Linked DNA regions of Caenorhabditis elegans. The protein of the gene in region 1 interacts with the protein of each later gene in a pairwise test. Each region holds a gene or a part of one and is shown on either strand. Other genes may lie near its edges. The genes, in order: csq-1 and hmp-1.

What was found.
Region 2: the proteins of csq-1 (region 1) and hmp-1 interact in a two-hybrid assay, tested with the Caenorhabditis elegans proteins (one study listed by BioGRID).

The regions. Positions count from the first base shown.
Region 1 is NC_003284.9:14,682,573-14,689,116, reverse strand, and holds csq-1 (Calsequestrin), read right to left. Parts: upstream 4,241-6,544; 5' UTR 4,240-4,240; coding exon 4,105-4,239; intron 3,157-4,104; coding exon 3,037-3,156; intron 2,991-3,036; coding exon 2,906-2,990; intron 2,275-2,905; coding exon 2,171-2,274; intron 2,118-2,170; coding exon 2,006-2,117; intron 1,957-2,005; coding exon 1,883-1,956; intron 1,711-1,882; coding exon 1,531-1,710; intron 1,484-1,530; coding exon 1,244-1,483; intron 1,197-1,243; coding exon 1,070-1,196; intron 1,026-1,069; coding exon 949-1,025; 3' UTR 795-948; downstream 1-794. Other genes in the region: slt-1 (Slit homolog 1 protein), read right to left, coding at 6,090-6,162, 6,208-6,272, 6,331-6,443, 6,493-6,544.
Region 2 is NC_003283.11:11,844,187-11,852,919, reverse strand, and holds hmp-1 (Vinculin), read right to left. Parts: upstream 7,044-8,733; 5' UTR 7,043-7,043; coding exon 6,659-7,042; intron 6,615-6,658; coding exon 6,159-6,614; intron 6,113-6,158; coding exon 5,909-6,112; intron 5,837-5,908; exon of another isoform or gene 5,614-5,836; intron 5,514-5,613; coding exon 4,983-5,513; intron 4,881-4,982; coding exon 4,053-4,880; intron 3,570-4,052; coding exon 3,429-3,569; coding exon of another isoform or gene 3,381-3,428; exon of another isoform or gene 3,132-3,380; coding exon of another isoform or gene 3,024-3,131; exon of another isoform or gene 2,140-3,023; coding exon 2,039-2,139; intron 1,298-2,038; coding exon 1,150-1,297; 3' UTR 755-1,149; downstream 1-754. UniProt on the Caenorhabditis elegans protein: Required for cell migration during body enclosure and cell shape changes during body elongation. Required for proper localization of other junctional components, such as pac-1.

The DNA.
Region 1 (6,544 bases):
GAAGTACTGTGGACTTACCCAACATGTACATACTCACCAGTCAGCTAGATATGATATTAAACAAAAATGGAAGGCTTTCACATAAAATTGTTACACATTTTTCATTGGTGACAAACTGTCTTGCAATTTCCAACTCAACTTCACCAAGTACTCCACAGTTCCATGTGTTGCCTTTTTGTCTCAAGGTAGCCCATAATTGTTTTCATCTAACGGAAATTTGAAAGAAAGACATACCAATACATACACAATGGTAATTATCGTATTGCCTTTGCTTCGCAACGTAGTTTGCTGACACTCACCCTCACTGTTTCTGGTTCTCATTGCATTTAAAACGGGCATTTTTGCTATTTTCTGAGTGCAATGTGTGTATGTATGTATGTCTAAGGTCAGAACAAAAACTCAATGAAAATGAGGACTGTCAATCATCTGACTGGTTTTTGTGGAACAATATTGAAAAAAGTAGTGGAGAATTTTGGACGATGGAGTTTTGAAAATTATGAGCTTGGACAGGAAAAAACGTTTTGCAATGAGCAACTAGACATGTGACCTACAAGATAAAATTTCCGGAAATTCATATATATACATATATATATATATGTGTGGGCATATTACAAAACAATAAAAAATTTTACTAAATACGATGCTAAAACCAAAAATATATAGATCCTTGGCATCCGAGGCAAAACATCCTAAATCACTGCAGAGTTGAACGCTTTTTACAACAAACATTTAATTATTTCATTTGTTCTTTATTATATATTAGGGTCACTTGTAGCATAAAACAATGCCGTATTGAAATTCCAAAAAAGTTTATTTTGAACGAAAACATTGTGTCTAACTAGAAGAAACTACCAAGCGGCAACCATTAAAATGTCATGAAAAGAAGTGTTTAAGGTGTGATAACAATACGTGAAAAATAAGAATAGGTAGATCAAAAACGTGATTTTTTTACAGCTCCTTTCTAGACTTCTTTCCCTTTGGAGTTGGTGGTGGTGCTGGTGGCTCTGGCTCATCATCATCATCATCTGAAATTATTTTTTATAGATTTTTAGTTGAAAAAGTTATTCACCATCAAGAGAAATAGATCCGGAAAGAATCTGATCGATCCATGATTGGAGAGCCTCGAAGTTGGAGTCGGAGTGTTTCTTTGGATCATCCAAATTCACTTGAGACATATCGAACCAGATTCCTTCTTTCTGAAATATACATTCTATTAATTGACAAATAAAATAGAGTCTGCTACCTCAGAAATATCAATAAGTCCGATTTGAGGTCCTTCCTCAATATCGATTCCGAACATATCCTCCCACACATCAACCATAAGTGGGAACTCATCAGGGTCGACAAGAATGATTTCCAGGGTTCCAGCGTGCTCGGAGTTCTCATCGGCGATCTTGTCAAGGAGCCTCTTCATGGCTCTTCCCTCACGGGTTTCCTCGTCAACGAATGCCAAGATCATTCTCTCCTCCTCTTCGGGATCTCTCTGGAGCACGATTATTTTTTTCTAGCAAGGATATAAACTTTACATACCCAAAGGTTGAAGTAATTGTCAAGGGTGAGTTTTTGCATAACTGGCTCCTTGTTCTTCTCAACCCAGTCTTCGAATTCTTCCTCGGTATCAGCGGAAGTTGGGGCGAAAAGTGGATCTTCCTCAAATGGTCTGCGCATTTGGACCTCTCCGACTCTCTTTAGTCCGACTTTGCGTGCCCACTAAAAATACATTTATTAAAGAATATCGATTTTAAGTTATTTTTTTTCAAGTACCATATTTGATATTTAAGCGTGAAAATTGGGGTACATATAATAATTCAAAAATGAAAAATCAACATCTATTATACTTTTTCATAATACATTTTTGAAAAAAAATGCTCTCAACACTTACTTTAGATGTCACAACTGCGAAGAATTCGATCTCTCCCATAAAGTCTTCAGCGGCTTCCTCGAACTCCTTGAGAGCTGAAATTCTTTTAAAATTTATGCATGACAGCTTGTTCACATTCCGTACCAACTGATCCTGGCTCAAAGTATCCAATAATTCTGACACATTCGTCATCCATATTTTCAAACTCTTCCAAGTCATGTTCATCATTGATAATAGTCACTGGATCGTCTGGGATCTTAAATTGAAAAATAATTTATGGAATTAGCAAAAACTTAATAAATAACGTACATCCATCAGCCATGAAACAAAAGTTTCTGGATCACGAACACCATTGTACTCGATCTTGTAACCATCCTTGTACACGTGAATAGTGTCCTCTCCCTTTTCAACTTCTGAAATTTTGAATCAAGAATTAATGAAGAATTAGAAGGTTAACCAATTCTTAAATGTTTTTTTATTTAAATTAAGTTTCCACAAGTTTTGTGAAGCTTCGACAACATAAAATGATTAATTGGTAAAAATAATATTCGATTATGGTCCATTCTCGGAAACGTCACACTACGTGCTAAATGTTAAATTTTCCGTGAATTTCAAATTCTGAACTTTTATAAAAATATTTTATAAATCAAATTAACAAAAAAAGTAAAATTTGACACCTGTAGCAGCCACTATGAATGAGATCGTGACGAGACCCACTTTAAAAAATCAATTCATGACTTTAAACGGACATTTCAAAATTTCGTAGCATTACAATGTGGGTACATATAAATGAGATATGCACCAACTTACGAAAAAGAAATGTACAATCTTGCCAAAAAAGATATGTACCAACTTTCAAGAAATGGAAAAATATGAGGTAAAACATCATATTTCTATTTTTACTTTTGGCATAGAACAATTAATTTTTAGCAATACGTACGTTTCAATAATTATAACCATGTAATACAAATATTGAATTTTTTGAAAACATGACACAAAAATATGGAATATTTTTTAAGTTTTTGTGGAACAGCAAATGTTTACCTTCCTGCTTCCTCAAGCGATGTTCTTTGGTGGTGTTGACAGTGTAAAAGTTGTATCCTCTCTTGGTCATAATTTGAGCAGACAACTAAAATTCATAAATTAAAAATAAACTATCAAATTTTGAATTTCACCTGAAGGAAGCACTCATACTGGTCAAGCTCTGAGTCGTCCTCTTCCACGTCGTTGAAGAACACTACCGATTTGGTGTCTTCAGCGAAAACAGTTCTGTTGAAGTTCTTCTCGGTCAGAACCTGCAATTATTGATTTTTTTTTGTTGAGTGAAGATGAATATCTGTTGCAGTGTAATATGATAGGTTGGTTCGAAAACCCCGGATGTCGAAAATTTTGTTATAGGTCAAGTTTTGCTAGAATGACGCAATTGTTTACTGACATTGTGAAGTTAAATTAATGTCTTGTTATTGAGTAATTTAAGTTAAAGAATTAAATGAAAAATGATGATCAAGATAGTCGAGAACAATTGTTCTCAAAATTTTTTAGTTTTGAACTATAGGAACTAACTATAGGAATCTATAGTCTGCTTAGAAGTTGTTTTTATTTAATTATTGATAATTTTAAACTCAAATATTATCGAAAAATACGATCGCACAATTTTCTCATAATTTATTTTTGATCTACCTTGTTGACGAGGCTCCTCCCCTTCCTTCGACAAGACAGCCACAACAAAATAACAACGGCGACAAGATTGGGGGCGGAGACAACAGGTAGATCAAAAGTAAATTATGAGAAATGTGTGCGATCGTATTTTTTCGATAATACTAATGAATAATGTTTCAAAAAAATTTTTTAAAAAAATCGCTTCTAACCAAATAACTATTAACTATACCTTCTAGTTAGTGGATAAATTGTTGAAAAATCTAGAAACTTGTTCAGTTTTGGTATTTTGGTAATTTTGGATTCTAAAAAGTTGATTGACTCTAAAATAATATTTTTATTGGCAAATTTGAACGGAAAAAAAGCCTAAGAAGGAAAAAGAAAAAAAGCCTGAAAGTTCACTGGCAATTCTCGCCAACTCTTGCCAACTAAAATTGACAAAATTGACAAAATTCTCATTTATTTCTATGTACATTCATTTTTGATTTGTAAAAAAAAAAACAAAATCGGTAGTTTTGCAGATTTTCAGAAAAGATTTGCAGAATGGACAAAATAGACATTATAAATCCTATATCCAAATAACTCACCTCAGTTCTGTCGAATCCGTCGTATTCGAGATCTGGATATCCTAAGAACATGCATTCCAAGTCTTCGTTTTTGGAGATGCCTGCACTTGCAAGCACAACCACTAGCGCAAGGCTAGCAAGTTTGATCCAAGTCATTCTAAAGACAACGCAACTTATTTTTTGCTGTAGAAAAAAGCGAGAGATAAAAGGAAGGAAGGATGTGCATGGAGATCTTTTCAAAAAAAGAAGACAAAAAAGTGACACGAAACAAGGATAGAAAAGTCAAAGGGTATAGTGTGTGGAAAAGGTCCGCGCTAGCTGTTGGCGGCTGCTGCATTGGCACTGATGTTCTTCTCTTTGATCGCTATTCTTACACAATTCCACTGCCATCCGCGGGGCCCCGCCAGCTTTCGTTGTAAAGGGGGGAGCTGAGAATAAGCTTGATACCGAGGTAGCGAAACGAGCACAGCAGGAAGCTCCTGAGGCGCCTTTTCCTCCGGTGACTGATTGACTTTACACTATATATTTGTCGAGATGAAAACAAAAACTACGTGAAAGAAGATGAAGAAGCTGAAGGAGTGTGGGCGAGATTGGAGGTGAGGCAACAGTGTTTGTGGGGGCAATTGGAAGAGTTCATATCTCTAATAAATCAATAACGTGAGGGGAACATGCAACTTTCCAACTTTTTTCATAGCTGGCAACTTGAAAATAACCGTACAAGCATTCAAGTAGATGTTTGCATAGGAGAAAAACACATGAAACATGATATCATTCCTCACACTGTCTACTTTGAAAATTTAAATACACTTAATAAAATCGCGCAGCCGACATTCACTGAGACTCGCGTCGAACCACAGTAAATCCGTTTAGGGCGTTACATAGAATCCATCAAAAGTTTACCACCAAAAACACTTTATTCTCATATTTAGGCTTAGGAATTACCACTTTAAAATGTTATTGAGGATCGAAAATAGTGTAACAATAGTAAAGAAACATAAGTGTTTGAGTTACAACTTTTCGGGGTTCAGCTACTGTAAATTAATTAACTGAGTTCTGGATTAAATATTTAGTTTCGAAGTGTCTCTAAATTTCGGAATAAAATTGTTTTAAAAATATGTTTCAATTATAATTCGAACACGGAAAAATTGTTATACTGAAGGATATCTTCAAATTAGAGGGAATTAACAGAACAGAACAAAGGTAACATGATTTCCAAGTAACAGCTCATATTTCGGTGCCAACATTTTTTTGCACCGAAACATTTGTTTTTAAATCAACTTTTCGCAAAAAAAAAGTGTTCCTCATCTGCCCACACATCTGGCAAAGAATATCTATAGCATTCGGCTTTCAAAAACCAAACGGCAGTCTTCATCATAACCAACCGACTGACGTCACTGCTCGAAATAATTTTTCATCTTCGACGTAGAAATTTGCGAAATGAAATCAATCGGTACCGCTAACTAATACTGCCATTCGCCCTACTCCTCATCTTGCTCAATAAATCGGCAAACATATCACCCTCTACCCGCTTGGTAGGGGGGCACATTTATCCGAATTTATTTGCGTCTGCGATCACTCAAGCCAACACACCACACAAAAACTTGATTTTTCAAGGATTGATCAGTAAATCAGCGATCGGGGTAGTATTATGGGATTTGCATTTCGTTTGTGGAATTAGTGAATTGACGTGGCAAGGAAGAATCTGGTAAAGCAAACGTTTTATGTGGTATCGTTGAGAATCTGGATTTGGAAATTGAAAAATAAAATATAAAAATTCGAATCGTAAATTGATAAAATATAGTGGTCCTTGTGAAATTGCTGTGTACTCCAAAAAGTTGTTCATTTCTTGAAAATTGAAAACTGGCCTTATTTTTATGCCTAGGTATGGTTGAAGTGACTATTCAAGCAACCCCACAAGTAACAACATAATATTACAATTGGAATATGACATGTCAAAAATCGAGGATCTAGGAGTTCAAGGGATAATTGTTTTCACTTTAAAGTTGTCACTTTTCAGAGAGAACACTTTTTGTAGGTTCACATTGGCACTGACGAATAATGTGAACAGTGGAGATTTTTCTGGAAAAATAAGTATTTGTTTGAGCTAGGAATTCTCTAACATACGTTGTTCCATTTTTGCATATCATTTTCACTTTTCTCTGCTTTTTCTTCACAGCAGTGCAACAATTCTGAAAGAAAATAACAGCTTTATTTGAGAATCAGAATAACATGAAGATTTCGATTTACCTGTTCGCCTCCACAGTAACCATTACACTCTGCTATCTTGATTCTGTCAACCGATCTACACTCATTTTCTATATGATGCCTTCTGAACTTTTGCTTGTCACATTTGATTCTTTCTGGAATAAAACATTTTAACTTGCAAATACTTCCTACAAAAAAACGCACTTTCATCACAATGCTCTCCTGAAAAATGAGAATCGCATTGGCACATGTAGCC
Region 2 (8,733 bases), on another chromosome or scaffold:
AAAATGAGGCTGCCACATTTTGGAGATTTGTAGAGTTACTGTACTTTGTAACGTAGTTCTACTAACAAGTTTCTAAATAAGATGTTCTATGGTCATCCAAAACAATGACGAGAGACAAAAAACCAGCCAACTTTCGCCCCAAAATAATGAGACTAATAAGGACGCTGGAGCAAGATGAGCGTACAAAATAGTACTAATTAGTATTTGGGTCACCACCATCACTTTGTCTCTCGAAAGAAAAATAAGTTGAATATTCTAGAATCTCGTTGGAAATTCTGTAAGCAGCGTTCCATACACTTTAGGCACGCGATTTCCAGGATTTTTCTGCAGCAACAGCAGCAAAAAAAAAAACGGAAAACCCGGAGGCGTAAGCTTTCAGGAAATTAAAAAGTAACTCGCCGCGTGTGCAAACACGGAAATGCGCAGGAAATTAGGGAATTGAAATTGGGTCTTGAAGCGAAAACATGGGTGGCAATATGGGAATGTGTGAAAATAGTAGGGGATATCCATTTGGGAAGTCTCTCTTGAAGAAAAAAACAATTATGTCCTCCTCCCTTTCTGTTGCTAGTAGTCCAGGAGAAGAGAATAAGGGGAAAAGCAAAACGTAGTACAAATGAAGAAGGAGGCGAGGGTGGAAGGAGAGTTGTTGCACACACTTCCGTTTAGTACCAGCTGCTCGTAATGCTCAGGCACAACAATTTTGACGGTGCCAGATGTACGAGACCTTTTTGATGTCTATATACATAATAAAAATAGGAAAGAATTGAGTTCATCTAATTTGAAAAACTTGTGCACATAGATCAGGGAGTTTAGAAATCAGAATCATACAGAAAAAATCGTTGAAAGGGTGAGGTTGATAGTGCGAAAATAAATTGTAAAGATGTAAAGTTACCTGATTTTCAACAGTATGGATTATGATATTCATGGGGGAGAAAAATGAAAAATGCGGTGATAATGGTGGCGGTGATGAGCTGATAGAATTTAGAGCATTAAACAGAAATGAATACAAAAAATACACAGATACAAATTTCTAGCTGAAGAGAATTGAAAGAATGAGAAAATAATAAAGACTCGGGCATATAAAGGATGTGTGGAAAGATTTGGAAGGGAAAAGTATGAAGATACATGAATAAAACTGAAATAAATTATCTATAAACGACCGTTTATTCTTTGTTGATGCCGGCGATCAAGTTCCTCGTCGTCACTATCACGACCCGTCTCAATCTCGTTACGCGTAAACTCGGCGAGCACTTTAGCTGGTTGCAAAGGTCGCCGTTCGGATGCCCGTCTGCAAACTCTTTATAACATTAGTCGGCGTTCGTTGAATACATCTTTTGAAAGGGGGATTCTAATTAATTTTCTGTAATGGAATAGATAATGATCAAGAATTAGTGATCACCTATCACGGGAACACCAACTTCTGAGTATGCGTATTGCACAACATATTTTTGACGAGCAAAATATCTCGTAGCGAAAACTACAGTAATTATTGTAATGACTACTGTAGCGCTTGTGTCGATTTACGGGGTGCATCTCAAAATCGTAAAATTTAGTTTAATAGGTTTAAAAAATGTCTGAAATCTTATCAAAAATTTTTTCAGGGGGGGAAAATTTTCTGAAAGAAAAGAAAAATTGTGTTTTTTGATGCTTTAAAACTTTCATTTCAATGTCCGAAATCATCCAACTATTCATCACTTTTTATGAACATTGTCGCTTTTTTTTTGCTTTCCGAAAACTCAATTTGCATTTATGATCCTCAAGGGATACACTTTTGCTCAACAAGTCAAGAATATACATTTTGGTGTCGCAGCTCTTTCGGCTTTCACCACTTTTACCACAAAAAAAGGGACTTGGGACTACTGACAATGGCAGCTACGTGCCATTTTCTGGTGGCAGTGCTATTTTTTATGAATTATTCAGGGACCGACTACTTTTTTTCACATGGCTTCTCAATGAAGTGTGTCATATGTCCTTTTGCAGGCAAAGGAAACACTTATAGAGGGATCCTTGATTCAAAAAAAATAGATGAAAACGTTACCTGATTATAGCATTATTCTTTTGTGGTCGAATTAGTGGTTGTTTCTTTGGTGGAGCCATTCGCCACTCGACACGTACACTGTTGGCATTAGGACGACGGAACTGCAAGAATAAGGATGAGTTTCAGGAAGTTATCAGCAAAGAATTCCAAGCATTCGAGCAATTTAAGAAAATGAAACCAACAGCAAACAACATCGAGACACTTTTCATCAACAATAACACATATTTTACGTTCGTATCAATTTCTTTCAAGTTTTTTTTTCAACTTAATCTTCTTTTCTTAGTTAAAGTTGCAATACAATCTAGTTTAAAATGTATGAGTTTTTTACGGGGGAGTATAAGATCACAAGACCGACATATTGGGGGATCGATGTCCACACATCAAGACCGATACAATGCATTTTTAGAAAGTTAAATGTTTTTTTGTTGGGAAAACGATTTTTAAGTGTGAAGGGAAAATAAGAAAGGGATGTCCTTACCAATTTGAATTAACATATTTAACTGGAATTGTTTTCTTTTTTTTGGAATATAATGAAAATTAATTTGTATTTTCTAGGATTCAGGAAATCTATAAAAATCTGAGATTTTGCTTTTAATTTTTGGCTAAATTCCATGTTTGAATTCGCACCAAACTGAGAGAATTCAAATAGGGAATCGCCAAAAATTGAAAAATCTGATTTTCGAAAATTCGACATTTCATTCTTTCTCTTTTTTGGGTATTTCTGAGAATCAAACTATTCTGGATTTTTTTAAAGCAAAATCCCTACTCCATTAAAAAAAAATCGTCAAACATTAATAGTCTTAACCACTGATTTGAACTCAAGACATAAGCTTTTTTTAACTATAAAAAATATTTACCATTAAATTACGCAGCAGCCAACGTAAATTTTGAGAAAAAAGCAAAAAATTAAATTCGACATGCTCAATATCTCTTTTTCTCAAAAACAACATCGATAAAACCACACAACACGATATTTAATGCTTTCTCATTTTTTCTCACCAGATTCATCCATCGGACTTTCATAATTAATAGCTTTGTGAGCATCGCTAAGCGCAACGGCTGATTCGACTCGAGCACGTTCGCGTTGTGCACACTATTGAGAATGTTTTTTTTTTTTTTTAATTTTATTTATTTAATTTTCTAAAACTTTTGGGTACACTTTCTAAAATCTCAAAATTCAGTGTACAAAAGGCAACTGGTCTATTGGCACTTTAAACCACGTGTCTACTCAAAAGAGTGGGCGAAATACCATCTGATTTGAAATGAATTACGTAAGCAGCCGTTATCGTCTGTACGAAAAAAGAAATGTGTGATAAATGCTGGAAAGCAATAGTATCAGACATCAAGTGGGAATAATAATTAATGTTTTGTTTAAAGAAAGGGAACCAACCTTGGTACTGGCAATGTATGCAGCTTTAACAGTCTGTACAACAGCAGTTAAAAGATTTCGAGCCGTTTGAATAAGAGACATTGCAGAGTCAAGTGCAGATACGACAAGCTCATTTCCAACTTGAGTCACATCAGCTTTCACCTGAAATATTACTTTCTATTAAAAGTTTAAAGTTATATTTCACATGGTTTTTTGAAAGCAATTTAAACAAAACTTATTTATAGTAAGTATATGAACAATTTTCTAGTATAAGTGAGGCCAATCACAATTTTTTTTTCATTTTTCATGGCTTCAGTCTAGAGCTTGGTTCGCAAAAAAAACGCGAAGTAAAATTATATCTCTACTGAAATCGTTAAAAACAGTTGAAACCTCTTTTGGTGAAATATCACACTATCTATAAGTTTTTTTTTTTAATTCTCAATTTTTTCAAAAACTTTTCAGATAATTCTGAAAAATACGAGATTCTTTTCAGTTTTAGTTTTTATAGACGCGTTTTTAATTGTGAATCTTTACAATTTTCTTGAAAAACTAATTTGACAAATTTAAAAAACCCCCGAAACAAACAATTGACCAAAAACATTTGGTACGCTTTTACAGCTCGTGGCACCAATTAAAAAAACTCACCTTACTACAAATATTCAGTTGCTGACAATATAGAGTGATTTGTGACAAATATGCGAGCAAATCCTTTTTCGTCTGCGAATCAGCACTTTCTTCTCCAATCTGCCGTGCCAATGCATTTAGTTTTGATCCATTAAGTGAGATTTCTTGTGCTGCTCGGATAACATCCATTGTCGTTTTCAATGGCCCACAACCTCTTGTGAATTCTGTCATACTCATCATAATCTTACACATATTATTGGCCAATGATATAATATCATTTCCTGTTTCATCCCACTTGGCAACTTCTCTTTCGAATCGTGTTTGTGTTACTTTGAAGATATCAATTTGTGCTTGAATTTTCTTTTTCTCTTCTTCTGGCAATCGTCTCATCAGATTCTGTTGATTTTCTTGTTCGGATATCGTACGATTAGCATCTGCATTTGCTGCACCAACACCATCAGCTTCATACTCTACATCCGAATCAACATCATTCATACTTCGGTTCATTAAAAGTGCATGTCGAATGTCTTTAACTGCATCGTGAACTAATGTACAAGCATTGATAAATTCATTCATTTCTTCTTCCTTTGTTTTTGGATCCCATGTAAGTCCGTGTGCTTCTTGACGGTTGGCTAAAGCGCTCGCACGCTCAGCGAATTGATCTACACGTTGAGTTTTCAAAATCCGAACAGCTTGCTTAACAGTTTCAGTGTATTCAGAGTTCTGAAGGAAGTCCATTTCAGCATCGACAACGTCACAGACTCGGAGAGCTCGTCCACGTATCGATCCGGCAGCACAGTCGACAGTTTCACAGTTGGCCGCATTTTCATCCGGTGTTGAAGCGTTTGCCTGGAAAATTCAGTTTGAACGTCTCAAAAGTTGACGAATTTAGCGAAAACTATTTTTGTTAATTTTCATTAAATTTAAAATTTTGAGAACTAAAATACTTACCGTGATACCTTTGATTCCCCGCTCACAGTCTTCAACAATATGTGCTTCACTGACAGCCAAAAAGTCGTCCAAAGTAGTGATATTGTCAAGAGCAGTCGTTAACAATCTCACTTTGTCAAACCAAGCATTTTTATAGGTTTCCATGTTCTCTTGAGCAGTTTTTGAAGTAGGTTGATGGCAAAGTAAGATGGCAGCTTGAGCAACTTGTGGAGCAAGTTTTTCAAGTTGAGCAGCCGTATGCTGAATGACACTAACACTTTCAACATCTGATGAAAGTTGACAAGAAAGACGAGCAACTGAAACAATTTCATTTGCATGCTCTTGGAACATCTTTGAACGATATCTTGTATTCTCTTCATGGCCTTCTTTAGCAGCTTCTATCAGTAAAATAAGCGGTGTACGGGTATCCAGGAAAGCATCACTTATATGATCTACAATTGCACGACGAAGGTGTCGCCGGAGATCTTTTGTTCTTTTGTGTACTTCTGCGATTCCAAGAGGAATATCATCATTATCATCTCTTCGGCCGGTCTGAAAAATTACAGATTTAAAACATAGTTAAACAGGTCGTAATAAGCTTTAAATTTTATTGTAAAAACTTTGTAGTCTCTATATTTTCTACTACTACAAATTTTTTAAAGAATTTCCCCGAAATTCTAAAAAAAACATTTTCCATGTCTGAACTCGCGGTGGTCATTTTTTTTTCTAAAAAACGGCTTTAGTTCGAGTTCGGTTAACAAACAAAAACAGTTGTTCTCGCCCTGAGGGACAAGGCGTCACACTTGAAAGAACGCACGATTGTTTGTTTGTTTGTTCTCACCGTCTCCATCGCCCTTTTGTGAAAAAGATGCGCTTCTTTGAATGTTTTTTATTTCTTTTTATTTTAAACGAGGCAACAAGTCAAGAGATCAATAGAAAAAACTTACAGATTTTTCATATTCGGTCAAAAGTTCTTGAAGAGCTTGCCGCAAATTATTGCATTCAGCAACAATTTTTTGTTTTCGATTTTCACGAGTGCTTTCAGCATCGGCAATTGAAGCAGAACCACTAACAATTCGTTCACAATGTCCTTCAAGATCTGGACGATCAGTTCCTCGACGATAATGGGCTGGATCAATTTCGATTCGATTCTTAAAATAAATTATTTGTCTTATTATTTGAAATTTTTAAACTCACTTGAAAAGTATCGATTTCATTGATAAGATCGCCTATTCTTCCATATTCAGAAAATGTTACTTTCGGTTGTTGTCCGTTTAAAACAGATTCAAGAGCATTTAAAGCAGAATGCATTTCATCTGCAGTGTAATCACGATTTCTTCGAGCTTCTTCATGTTCTGGATGTCTTACAAATGTTCGTGTTGAAGTATACAGAAGTGGTGCAGTCTGTCGAAGTGCTGATCTTGCTGCTAGAAGATCATCTCTCTGATTTGGTTTAACCAAATCAATGGCTCGTCGTCGAACAGTGATATCAAGTTCTTCGATTTGAGAAATGAGAAGATTGTACAAATCATCTACTTTGATTTTTGTATCCGCTTCAATCATTTGGTGTGCAGTTTCTCGAACTTCATCTACTTTATCAACTATCACTTTTACATCAATCGAGTCGGCAAGAATTAGGAATTTAGCGACAGCCTGAATACAACATTTTTCAGTTAAAAGAGTACCTAAAAACTTACAGTCAACAAATTTCTACCAGAATTCGTTGCAATAGCTCGTTTGTTTGTTGAAGTTGAATCTCTGACAAAATCTCTTCCAGTTTGAATCATCACTTGCCCAGTATCTTGAACTGCTCCAAGAGCTTCGTGCAATAAATCAATTGCGCGTGGATCACTGTTTGCAATTGGGCATTTCGAAATTGCAAAGCTTCCCGTTTGAAGAAAATTAGCAACGGCAGCATCAAGAGTGGCGACAAGTCCTTCAGTAGTTTGTCCAGGTTTTAACGGAAACGTTTCAGTGATGTTGGTCACTTCATTGATTAATTGAGTAATTTGTTTCAAAACATTTTTCGAGCGCACTTCGTCGATGTTGAAATACGCATGAGAATTGCCATTCGCAGGCATTCTGAAAATTAATAAAATTGAAAATTCAGATTAGAATGCAAATAAAACGAAGAGAAATAATATTTATATTGAGATGAAATCAAAAAATATAAAAAGAAATACATAACCTTACATTAAAGTATCGATTAGAACTACTGTTAGATTTGAAGGCGCACGATAAAGAAGGGGTGGTTGGTCTCAAAGAGATCCAAGAGGGTACTGTCACCGTTAAACTTTATTGGCAAACACAGAATTTACTTATTCTTTGAGAAAATGACTCATATAAAATAAAAATCTTTACTCTAACTTTTCAAAAATTAAAAATTAAATTTTCAATGAAAAAAATAAAAAATCCTTTCGCAAAATAGCGAGAAACAAGTGTGGTGGGGCCTGTGAGGCCTTTCGGGTGTTTACTCAACGAAAAAACAAAACAATTAATAGGGGATTATGTTTCACATGCCGGCAATTTAGGAAATAACTATTTTTTAAATAAAATTTAAGAAAAAAACAAATTCGAAAATTAAAATTTCGACCGAAAATGAAGAAACTTAGTTTTTATTTGCCATGTTGAATATATGTTTCACACTCAAAAATTTTCAAATAAAAAAGTTGCGAAGCCAAAAAGTCACAAAAAGCAAACTTTTGAGGTATTTGCGAGTGAGAAGTGAATATGGTGAAAACGATGATTCCGCACCATCAACCGGTGTACGAAGACACTGTTAAATATAGAGAGAAAGAAGACACATAAAGAAATGATGATTCAGTCGGGTTGGCCGGTCGGTCAGTCAGCGGGTGACGAGTGAGCGGAGAGAAGGGTATAAGAACGGACGAGCGGCGGGAATAGAGGACGAAGAGGCAAGGACACTGGTCAATGGAGATGAAGAGACACAGACATTGGGACGGACGGAAGCAGGACGGTTCCCTTCGGGATGAGCAGAGACTCGACAGATGGAGAAGATGACCGAATTGAGTTTGTTTGCCCGACTCCCATGGATTATAAAATTGGGTACGTATGGCCTATGTTGGGGCAACTGCAGCAGCAGCGTGTGAGTGTGCGCCCCGGAAATAAAGGACTTTTATGGAAGGAGTATTGAGAAGATGATGGAAAAGGGACAAAAAGTTTCCCTTTTGTTTTGACGTCTTCTACGTCTTATTCGGAGATTTCGAGGGATAATTCTGAGGGATATGGAAGGACAGTGAATTGATGCATCATCATCATATTCTTATATTGGGTATTGAAATTTAAATTTGAATACGACCGAAACAATTTCTCGTTTCAAAAAAGTGGAATCTGAGTCATAGAGAAGTCTGAATCACGTTTTGTACACGGCAGCAGCTGTTTGTAAACTTTGAATCGCGGGGGTGAACTGAAGTGAAAAAAAAGAAAAAAAACTAGGAAAAATCAGGGAAAGTACATTTTTGAGATTGCATTTTTCTGAGAACCTGAACTTTCTCAGATGATATCAACAACATTATTAATCACTGCAACACGATCTGTGCTATTGTAAAAATATGTTCAATAATAATTTGATTTAGAGTCTATTTTGTCCCAATTTTAAGAGGTTTCTCCTGTCTAAACTTTCATAGACAATTTACGGAAATCTAGTAACTGTTGCCGGCTTATTGAACTTTTTCACTGGAGTTACTAAGATACTTATAGAATTTTTACGAAGTGTGGCCAAGATGTTCCTCAATTCAGCTTGACCCCAGGT